Cricetulus griseus: one gene and its partners. The main gene of each other region encodes a partner of the protein of the gene in region 2 in a complex. Links are inferred from orthologs where the notes say so. Each region holds a gene or a part of one and is shown on either strand. Other genes may lie near its edges.

Region 1 (3,654 bases), on a different chromosome or scaffold from region 2:
CTAACTTTACAATCAAAATTAGTGGGGCTGGAGAGATGGCTCACTAGTTAAGAGTATCTGTTGCCCTTCCAGAGAACCCATTTGTTTCCTAGCAACCATGTCACAAGTACCTGTGACTCCAGCTCCAGATGACCTGACACTCTCTTTTGGCCTCCTTGGCTTTCTGCATGTACATGTGCATGTAACACAAGTAATACAAATATTTTAAAAAGGACAGTAGTGGTGCATACCTTTAATCCAAGCACTCAGGAGGCAGAGGCACACTGATCGTTGTGAGTTCAAGATCAGCCTGGTCTACATAGCGTATTCCAGGTCAGCCAAAGCTGCACAGTCAGACCCTGTCTCCACACAGCTATAATCTTAGCACTCAAGAGGTAGAGAATGAGCATCAGGAGTTCAAGGCGATGGCTACATAGTGAGTTTGGGACCAGTTTGGCTTTTATGAGACCTTGTTTTAAACAAACAAACAAAAACAAAAACCACAATAAAGTTCATAGAAACTTGGCTAGAAAAGTTAAACTCTATTTTAGAGCATTCAGATAATGAAGAGTTTCCCATTTATCACCTTCTAGGGGGAGGCAGGGAAGAGAGTGGGGTGCTAGGGACTGAACCCAAGATCTCATATACACGTGACAAGCAAAGCACTCCACCAGAGTTACACCACTAGCTCTATCATCCTATTTTGGGAATGTGTCTTAATCCACAAAAACTAAACTCAAGTACAACAAAAGAGTTCAGTTTAAATAAAAATTTACTTTATCTTTCCTTGTTTGACAAAATTTTGTCTAATGCTTACCTGAGCCATCAGTAGGAACTGAACTTGCATTGATTCCAGAAAGACCAAACAAAGGACATTCTCGATCTGTGTTCACATGACCCCACTTGTGACATTTAATACACCTTACATTTCGAACCTGAAAAATAAACAGTAGTTTGGTTCTCAAATACCAACAGCCTAACATTCAACTTAGCATTTTTATTTAGGTACCCCTCTCACTCCTTTTCTTTTTCTTTCTTGAGAAAGGGCCTCACTATAGCCCTTGCTGGTCTGGAACTTGCTATGTAGATCGGGTTGGCCTTGAACTCACAGAGATCCGCCCACTTTTGCTCCTAGAGTGAATACACCACCATACCTGGCTGTTCCTTTTTAAAAAGATCTCTTGGGAAAGAGATTCTATAACTATGGTGGGTAAGTCGATACAGATACTAAACTCTTCTACTATAAATTTGCCTAAAATCCAAGGTGAATCCTATCTATGCCTCCTATAATAAAACAATACCACCCAAAAAGAAATGGTAAAATATCACAACAAATTATGTCATGGTTTAATTTTAGGTTCTCTAATTTTAATGCATTCACCTAATACCCCAACCCCCCCTACACACACACACCCTTTATACATAGATAGGCTCCCTGGTGCAGCTCAAGCTGAGCTTTCAACCTTCATGTTGGAAATCCAGGCCTGTTTCCATACCAGCTACATCTCTCCAAATTGAAGCCAGGCCCTTACAACACACTGTAAAAGTGTTTTTTGGTTTTTTTGTTTGTTTTTTACTGAGCTATTCTCTCTAGCTTTGAAGTCTCAGATTTCTTTCTTTCTTTCTTTTTTAAAGATTTTATTTATTTATTATGTATACAACATTCTGTTTGCATGTATATCTGCACACCAAAAGAGGGCACCAGATCTCATTACAGATGGTTGTGAGCCACTATGTGGTTGCTGGGAATTGAACTCAGGACCTCTGGAAGAGCAGTCAGTGCTCTTAACCTCTGAGCCATCTCTCCAGCCCCAAAGTCTCAAGATTTCTAAACGAGGGGTTAGCAAACTTATTCTATGAAATAAAAACGGTACTTTAACTTTCTTATTTTATGTTTGTGTATGTTACACCTACTCGACCCTACTGTTGTGACAGGCGACGTGTCAGAAGAGCTGCCATAGACAATGCACAGGTGACTAAGGCAATGTTTTTCACAAGGATCATTCCTGGAGTGACAATTGACTGATTCTAAATCAGTAACATTTTTAACATCTTTTCTTGACCTCGAGTTAGTGACCACATCATTATCCTTCACTAGAAAACTTGATTCTCATCTTCCATCTGTCTACTACATTTCGTGTTTTCTCCTCATTCGAATCATTTCATATAAATATAAACCAAAGTTGTTTTAGCTTAAACACGGTGATGCTAATCTTGGCTTGGCAACCTGACTACATCTGGAATCAACTAAAACCCAAGCTGGCAGACAGTCCTGTGTGGTGGTTTTAAAGAAAATGGTCCCCACAGGCTCACAGGGCATGGTGCTATTAGGAGGTGTGGCCTTGCTGGAGTAGGTGTGGTGGTGTTGGAGGAAGTGTGTCACTGGGGCAGGCTCTGAGGCTTTAGATGTTCCTTCCATTTGGCCCAATGTGGCTCACTGTCTCTTCTTGATACCCGGGGATCCAGATGTAGAACTCTCAGCTTCTCCCCCTGCACCATGCCTGCCTGTGTGCCACCATACTTCCCGCCATGATGATAATGGATTAAACTTCTGGCCTCAAAGCCAGCCCCAATTAAATGTTCTTTGTAAGAGTTGTTATGGTTATGGCATCTCTTCACAGCAACAAAACCCTACTTAAGACACTCCTGTGAGAGATTTTCTTGATCAGAATTTGAAATCTGGCCACACTTTCTGGTGACAGCCCACATAAACAGAACTCGAAGAAGGAAGCTTCACTTTTTGCCTGTTTGCTCTCTCTCACTGGCAAGCTCAAGCTCCTCTATCTATTCTGTTGCTGCTAATATTAAATCCAACTTCTTCAAGATTTCAATGTAGGCCAAAGACTACCAGCTCTGCAGGAATCCTTCTGAGACAACCAGCCTTGTGGACTGAACAGATACTGGATTCTCAGCCTTTCCATCATGAGACAGCCACTGTTGGACTGCCCAAACCAAACCCAACCACGTCCTCTAGGCTAGATCATAAACCACCCTTTAATATCTATATTCATCCTATCAGTTCTGTTCCTCTAGAGAACTCTAATACAAATACCTTTTGGAAAATAATGTAAAGATATAAGTACTAAATAAAAATTATTCTTGGAGAGTAAAATAAGTGTCACTTGCCTGAATACCAAAGGGCTGGTCTCTGATGTTCATGTCATCTTTGGCATATCTGTTAAGTACAAAAAAATGTAAGACTATGGTATTAAAAGAACAATTCAATGCCAGTTAACCTGAAAAATGTTTATTGTTCTTAAACCATTATAAAAATTCATTACTACTATAAAAATATAAAACAACCATCAATTTTTAAGTGTTTATAACAGTGGTTCTCAACCTTCCTAATGCTTCAACCCTTTAATACAGTTCCTCATATTGTGGCGATTTCCCCAACCATAAAACTATCTTCATTGCTACTTTCCAACTGCAATTTTGCTACTGTTACGAATCCTAATGTAAATACATCTGTGTTTTCAATGGTCCTTTGAAGGTGGCAACTCACAGGTTGAGAACCACTGGTCTACATAGTCTGATTGTGTAGAGTTTTAAAAAGCAAACAAGTTCTCGAATCAAGGCCAGAATGAAGCATGCTGTCTGTCTGCGGTAAGTCAGTTAGTTACTGCCCTGGTCAATGAACCAAGAGGCAGGAAGGACTGCAGACATGATACAAAC
Region 2 (3,654 bases):
TTTAATCCCAGCCCCCAGGAGGCAGAAGCAGGAAGATCTTTGTGAGTTCAAGGCCAGCCTGGCCTACATAGCGAGTTCTAGGACAGCCAGAACTACATAGAGAGACCCCTGTCTCAAAAAAACAAAAACAAAACAAAACAAAAACCACCACCAACACCACCAACACCAAAAATAAAACTAGAAGAGAGCGTTAGGTTGTGTGTCCATGTGTGTTCAGCACATGGACACGTGAGTAAATGAAGACAGATAAAGGCAGCAAGTGCTGAGCTGGTGACAGGCAGGGCAGTGGCAGGACAGCCGTCTGAGGTAATAAGCTGCTTACAAGGTACTAAATGTGCTATAGGCAGGTGAGGGGCAGTTGTGTGACGCTTGGCTTGCTTCCCAAGCCCTTTGTCATCTTACCGTCTTGTGTATCAGGTAAAAGTCCTTCTTGTGGGCACAGAATGCCTTCTTGAAGAGCCTCTTCTCCATGGGAGTCCAGATGTCTGAACCTGCCAGGGAGCACAGCCAGGCAGGGGAGGTTTTTCTCAAGGGACCACTGCCTCACTGACATGTCGACCACACTTTTATGAGCATCGAGAATGCTCTATCTAGGACAGTCTTCCCAAAGCCTACAAAGCTGGGGCCTCACTACCCTTATGTTATAGATGTGGGCAACTGGCTGGGGCCTCGGTGGCCAAGGGTGGTGGGCCTAAGCTGCCTGGCTTTGCTGTACTCATCTGTTTAACCTGAGTGCATAGCCCCTGCCCCAGTCAGGAATGCTAACCTTGCTGGGAATGATGGAACAGGGCTGGTGGGGTCTAGTGAACTCAAGGCAGTGCCTGCAGAGTCCCTCTGGGAAGAACAGGCCCCTTCAGGAAGTCAGGCAAAGGCCAAGGGGCAGAGGTAAGTTTCCATTCGGCCTGGCAGCAATCAGCCAGGCCTCAGTATCAAACAGCCCTTTCCCTAGTTACCTGTGTAGCGATAGTCAGCTAGCGGGTGAGTCCGGGGCTTTTGGGGTCCTCTGAGTAATAGAGTCTCCAGGGCAACCTGGAAGGACAGTGAATGTAGGCCACTCACAAGGCATGGGAAGTGGGGGCTGCCTCCATTCTCCTTCCATTGAAAACAAATCTCTCTAAAGTCATCTGGTTTAGGGCCACATAGAAGGGCTTGGTCCTCGGGCTCATGATAACTTCACTGATTACCCTTTGAACATCATTTTTGTCTTCAAAGTATGGCTTGTCCACGAAGGGTGCAGTATGTGGGTTTGCGAAGCACATACTGCTCCCCACCAGAGCCTGCTGCACAGAAGAGTGCTATCCACCCAGCACTACACTGTGTTCTCTCTCTGGGTACTCCTTGCTGGGGATGGAGCCTGGGCCTCACATATGACTCACATATGACTTTCTGAGACAGAATCTATACCGTAGCCCAGGCTGCTCTCAAGCTTCTTATCCCCCTGCCTTAGCCTTCCAAGTGCTGGAAGTCCAGGTGTGAGTGACCACACCCCTCAGCCAATATGCTTAGAACATTTTGTCTCTCCTATAAGCTCTGTGGGGGTATGGGCTACTCTAATCCTAGTAAGGACCAGGCATGGACTTTCTAGGGTTTGGTACAAAATGAAAATGAAGATTTCCTCTGACTGACACACACTTTTAATCCCAGCACTCAGGAAGCAGAGGCAGGAAGACCTCTGAGTTCTGGGCCTACAGAGTGAGTTCGAAGACAGCTAAGGAAATCCTGTTTCAAAAAAAAAATCATAAAACAAAACAGGATTTCCACTCAGAAACTCTGAAGAATCCCCAGATGAGGACAATGAAGGGTTAAGTCAAAGACAGAGCACACAAACATGATTGATACCCAGTGGATGTTTGGCACACATGTGCCAGGTACTGCCCCTCAGCTTGACAGAAAGCATGGCCCAGGGCTGAGTCTCAGGTCCTGAACACTGCTCCTCCTATACTGCCCCAGGATACCTTCTCTTGAAGCTGTGGCTCTCAACCTTCCTAATGTTTTAACCCTTTAAAACAGTTCCTCTTGTGGTGAGCCCCATAACCATAAAATTATTTTTGTTGCTACTGTTGTGAATTATAATGTAAATATCTGTGATTTCCAAAGGTCTTTGGTGACTTCTGTGAAAGGATTGTTTGAAGACAGACAAGTTCTGTAACTGAGCAACTTCCACCCACCCCCATTCTGCTATGCCGGCCTCGAAGGACTGCAGACGTGGACCTTGCCCTTCCTTCATCAAACAATCCAAGGCCCAGAATATCCAGCCCCAGAAGTGCACAGTACCTAGGTCTCACCTGAACACTGCCCTGGGCTTCATGCAGGCAGTGGAGGGCAAGCTCTAGGTTGGTGCCCCCTCCTGGCATCACACTGGAGCATGCCACATTGCAGAGTTCCATCACTATGAACCCAAGAGCATTAGGAAGAAGAAATGGAGTCAGGACATGCCAGGGAGGTACCGCCCCCATAGCACAGGGGCTCCTGGTCAACTCCCCTTTCTGTACATCCCCATAGAGGACAGGGAACAAGGAGGGACCATAGGAACTCGGGCTTGGCACCTGCGCTGGAAGTGAGAGGTGGGGCAGGGCAATGCAAGGTGGGAGAGAGACGCTGGGTGGAGTTGGATGGGGAGGGAGGGGCCTTGGGACCTGACCCAAAGCCTCAGCCACCTCTGTCCTGGGTCTCTGGATTGCTCATCACATCTCCCCATGGCTTCCAGACCAGAGAAGCTACATTCTCATCCACTCTGGCCAGGGGCCTCTCCTGCAGTTCTGGGATCTCCGCCTGAAATCTGCTTCCTACGTTGATATGTCTGAAACAAGGCCACATACACATATGGGGATTCAAAGGTGACGAAGCCAGGAAACAGCAGAGATGTGCTATGTACCCTGTTCACAGCCACAGCCAGCTCCATGGCAGCTTACTGCCATCTCTCAGACACAGTGGCTTCTCATTACCTTATCAGCCAACAGACACAGGCATTTCAGAACACTCTTCCTAGCTTCTTCATTTCTGATTTCTGGCCTAGGTTCCAGGAAAGGAGCTACATGCTGACACTGACCATAAATGCTCTGTCTTCCTGAACTATGCTGTCACCACTTCTGTCCAGAAGCTCAGGTCCATGGAGGAAATTCTGCCCCTCCCCAAGCCCATCTGTGTGAGTTTAGACAGAAGTAACACAGTGGGACCTGCCCTCCCTGGGAAGACAAGCCTGGAAAAGGAGGCTTTGGAGCCCAGGCTGGTGAGAGCACCCTCTCTAGAAGGGCTTGGACATAAGTGTCCCAACTCACGGTTCGATGCTGATTTTTGTGTCATCCTTCACCACACAGATGCCAAAGGAGCTGTCCACTTGGTCTAGAAAACACACAGGGAAGAGCCTCAACAAGACTGACCTGATAGGGCCCCCGGGGAGCTTCTACCTGCCTTTGGGACACAGGTGAAAACAAAGCTGTGAGGCCCAGGTTGGAGGTGGTAGATTTTTGAAAAAGTAGAAGAAGAAACTCAGTGATTTAAAACAAACAAACAAACAAAAGGCTATTTGCCTGGCATGGTGGTGCACTGGGGGCAGAGACAGGCTGATGTCTTTGAGTTCAAGGCCAGTCTGGTCTACACAGTGAGTTACAGGGCAGCCAGGATTACATAGACACTATCTCGAGAAAAACAACT
Region 3 (2,839 bases), on a different chromosome or scaffold from region 2:
TGTGCTTACCTTTGCTGGAATGTAGGGTGTCTTTGGAAAGAGAGAGGCACAGAAACTACCTGTTTTTCTTCATATGCCTTCAAAGAATAATAATAACAATGCAAAAGGGAAATTTAAAAGTAGTTAAGAATCAGTGGAAGTCTAATTTTTAAACCTGCTAACATACACTGTGAAGTATTTTAAAAAAAAACACTGTTAGCCTGAAGTAGAGCTTGCCTTTAGTCTGAACACTTGGGAGGCAGAGGCAGGTGGATCTCTGAGTTCCAGGACAGCCAGAGATACCTGTCTCAAAACCAACAGACGCCCCCCCCCACCCCACCACCACCACCACACACTTACTTACAAATCAAATTGATCTAGGGAAATTACATTTATCTGTTGTTTCTCCTTTACCTTTAATTACTTGGAATTTTCAAGAAAAATTTACAAAATAAGGATCTTTACCTGAAACCTTAATACCAATTCCTGAAAGCTTAAAACAAAAACTAAGTTTCACAAAATAAATACACTGAAGCAGCTATAATAGTAATAACCTTTATTTAAAATAGTTTTAATTTAGGAAGCTCATTTCATATGAGTTTCCAACTAATTATTAGAATCAAAACCAAACAAAAAAAGCCAAAGAAAATCCTCTGTAGAAAAAATACCCAAGAACATTTCTACATATGAAAAACAGTAAACATTCTTTACAGCCAGACATCTATGTGCTAGTGTGAATGCCATCTCTCCTAGTGAACACCACTGTCGACCTTGAGATCTGATTTGTTCTTGTCATTCTTCACTGAGTAGATAAAATATGTTAGGGTGTCTTTTTCATTCACTGGAATAGACCTAAAGTGGCAACCAACTATCTACAAAGAAAAAAACAAATTAAATGTTAGATGCAGCAGATTCTGTGAGCCAGGTAAAAGGCACAGTTTAAAAAAAAAAAAAAAAAGGCACAGTTTAGGCCATGTGTTATATGGCCACAAGAGATTGTCTTTTAAAAATTAAGCTGTTTTAACAAAATATGAACAGGCCCCAAAGCACATTTAAAAAAAACAAAATATTATCAACAAAGGACAGTCTGATTTCAAAGGACCCTTTAGTCTACTCAATTCATATGCTCTAATTCTAAGTATTTTACTTGCTTTGGTCCACTGGTTATAAGTATTTTTCCCTTTAAACTTAACAACTTATAAAGTACATATTCTTAAACATTAAATATCAATGACATAAAACAAAAGAGCCAACGTGCATGTCGACTGCATTCACAGGAAAAGATTAATGTAAACAAAACAACAAAAACCCTTGGTAACAAACTATGATATCATATACAATTTTGGTGCAATTGATATTCATTCTCCCTAAGTTTCAGCAAAATTTTCTGAGTAAGATTTAAGAAAATTAAAGGAGCTAGAAAGACGCTCAAGAAGACTGCTTCCCTGTCTTTTCACAGCACAAACCAAACATGCACACTGAGCTACCAACACGAATAAGAAACTGAGCTGCTAATGTGTGCACTCCGATTCCAGAAGATGGCCTGTTTTTCTAGAACAGAAAATAACTCTGTACTAATTCAACTGTTTTTAGAAGACCAGACTTTAAAGTTGAGATTTGAGTTATAAACTATATGATGTTATATCATACAACGTTTGCATCAGTTCTTGGCTCCTCTCTGTTACAAAACAGGGGCGACCATACTTCATTAATGTCTAGTATATTTCATCATAGTAGGGAACATCTTTATGTTTATGTACTGTGCCATGGTAAAAGGACTAGATCTTTAAATAAAATTTGAAGAAAAATTATATTTTTGTCTAGGCAAAAAATAGAGGAGAAAATTTGGCTAGTTAGCATATTGAATTTTAATAATGTAAAAGAACTTTCTACAAAGAATTGCAACTTGTATTTATCTTTTATTTAATATGCACATTAGAAATGTAGGCTAACTACTCAAGTCAAACCCAAGAATATGAGAAAACTCATGTAAACACACACACACACACACACACACACACACACACACACACAGAGAGAGAGAGAGAGATTTCTGTCCTGTCTATTTAGTGGAAAAGTTTATTTTACATATAAAGTCTAATTATTTAAATCTGTAAATACTTTAAAGTGCACAGATTTTGTGGCTCTATTACTTCTTGAAAACACACACACACACACACACACACACACACACACACACACACAGCTAATTTCCAAAGCACTCTGAAGGAACCAAAGTCCTATACAAAATAAACTTTAAGTAAAAGCTTGGATAAAATCTTTGCTCTCTCTCGATGTAAAGAAAGCATCTTCTACTTAAAAACAACAACTACTAACAAAGACAACCTGAAAGTAAAACTAGAAAGTTAGGAAGTACTGCTTCAGGGTTCATCTGTAGGCCTATCCCAGAGAAGCTTTGAAAACTAAATTCTGATAAATGCTTGTAAGCTTATTTATTTGTTATGCCTCAATTAGGTGTTCAATAAACAGACATTGAATAATTAGAAACCTAAAACAGATTTCTGAAGTGATTAAAAACTCACTAAATACTTACTCTGAGAAATCCCTATTAAAAAATGCTGTAAGTGGATTTTCTAGGTGACAGACAGTTGTTTCTAAACCACTATATGCACACCATGATAGACCCATTAACTCTGACTTTCTTAGACATTAGACATTTACCTATTTCATCATCATTTAATCACAACCCTTGTTGGTGTGAACAGGTTTGTTTATACCGTATAAAAATTATACATACCTCAACAAGTTGTGCTTTATTAAGGCCTGGTCTGGTTGGAAGCTTGAAGTGTCTTTTGTATCTTCTAAGTGTATTTACTTGTAATTGGTACAAATCAACCTA

The links.
Region 1: Znf541 (region 2) and Cir1 share a complex: the UniProt entries of both Homo sapiens proteins name them as parts of the histone deacetylase complex. The link is inferred for Cricetulus griseus from reciprocal best matches to the Homo sapiens genes ZNF541 and CIRSR.
Region 3: Znf541 (region 2) and Sap30 share a complex: the UniProt entries of both Homo sapiens proteins name them as parts of the histone deacetylase complex. The link is inferred for Cricetulus griseus from reciprocal best matches to the Homo sapiens genes ZNF541 and SAP30.

The regions. Positions count from the first base shown.
Region 1 is NC_048599.1:101,841,227-101,844,880, reverse strand, and holds part of Cir1 (corepressor interacting with RBPJ 1), read right to left. Parts: intron 3,155-3,654; coding exon 3,106-3,154; intron 915-3,105; coding exon 797-914; intron 1-796. UniProt on the Homo sapiens protein: May modulate splice site selection during alternative splicing of pre-mRNAs. Regulates transcription and acts as corepressor for RBPJ. Recruits RBPJ to the Sin3-histone deacetylase complex (HDAC). Required for RBPJ-mediated repression of transcription.
Region 2 is NC_048602.1:10,752,908-10,756,561, reverse strand, and holds part of Znf541 (zinc finger protein 541), read right to left. Parts: intron 3,343-3,654; coding exon 3,279-3,342; intron 2,801-3,278; coding exon 2,658-2,800; intron 2,390-2,657; coding exon 2,286-2,389; intron 1,030-2,285; coding exon 954-1,029; intron 492-953; coding exon 403-491; intron 1-402. UniProt on the Homo sapiens protein: Transcription regulator which is essential for male fertility and for the completion of meiotic prophase in spermatocytes.
Region 3 is NW_023276806.1:235,754,604-235,757,442, forward strand, and holds the end of Sap30 (histone deacetylase complex subunit SAP30), read right to left. Parts: intron 2,837-2,839; coding exon 2,738-2,836; intron 852-2,737; coding exon 729-851; 3' UTR 519-728; downstream 1-518. UniProt on the Homo sapiens protein: Involved in the functional recruitment of the Sin3-histone deacetylase complex (HDAC) to a specific subset of N-CoR corepressor complexes. Capable of transcription repression by N-CoR.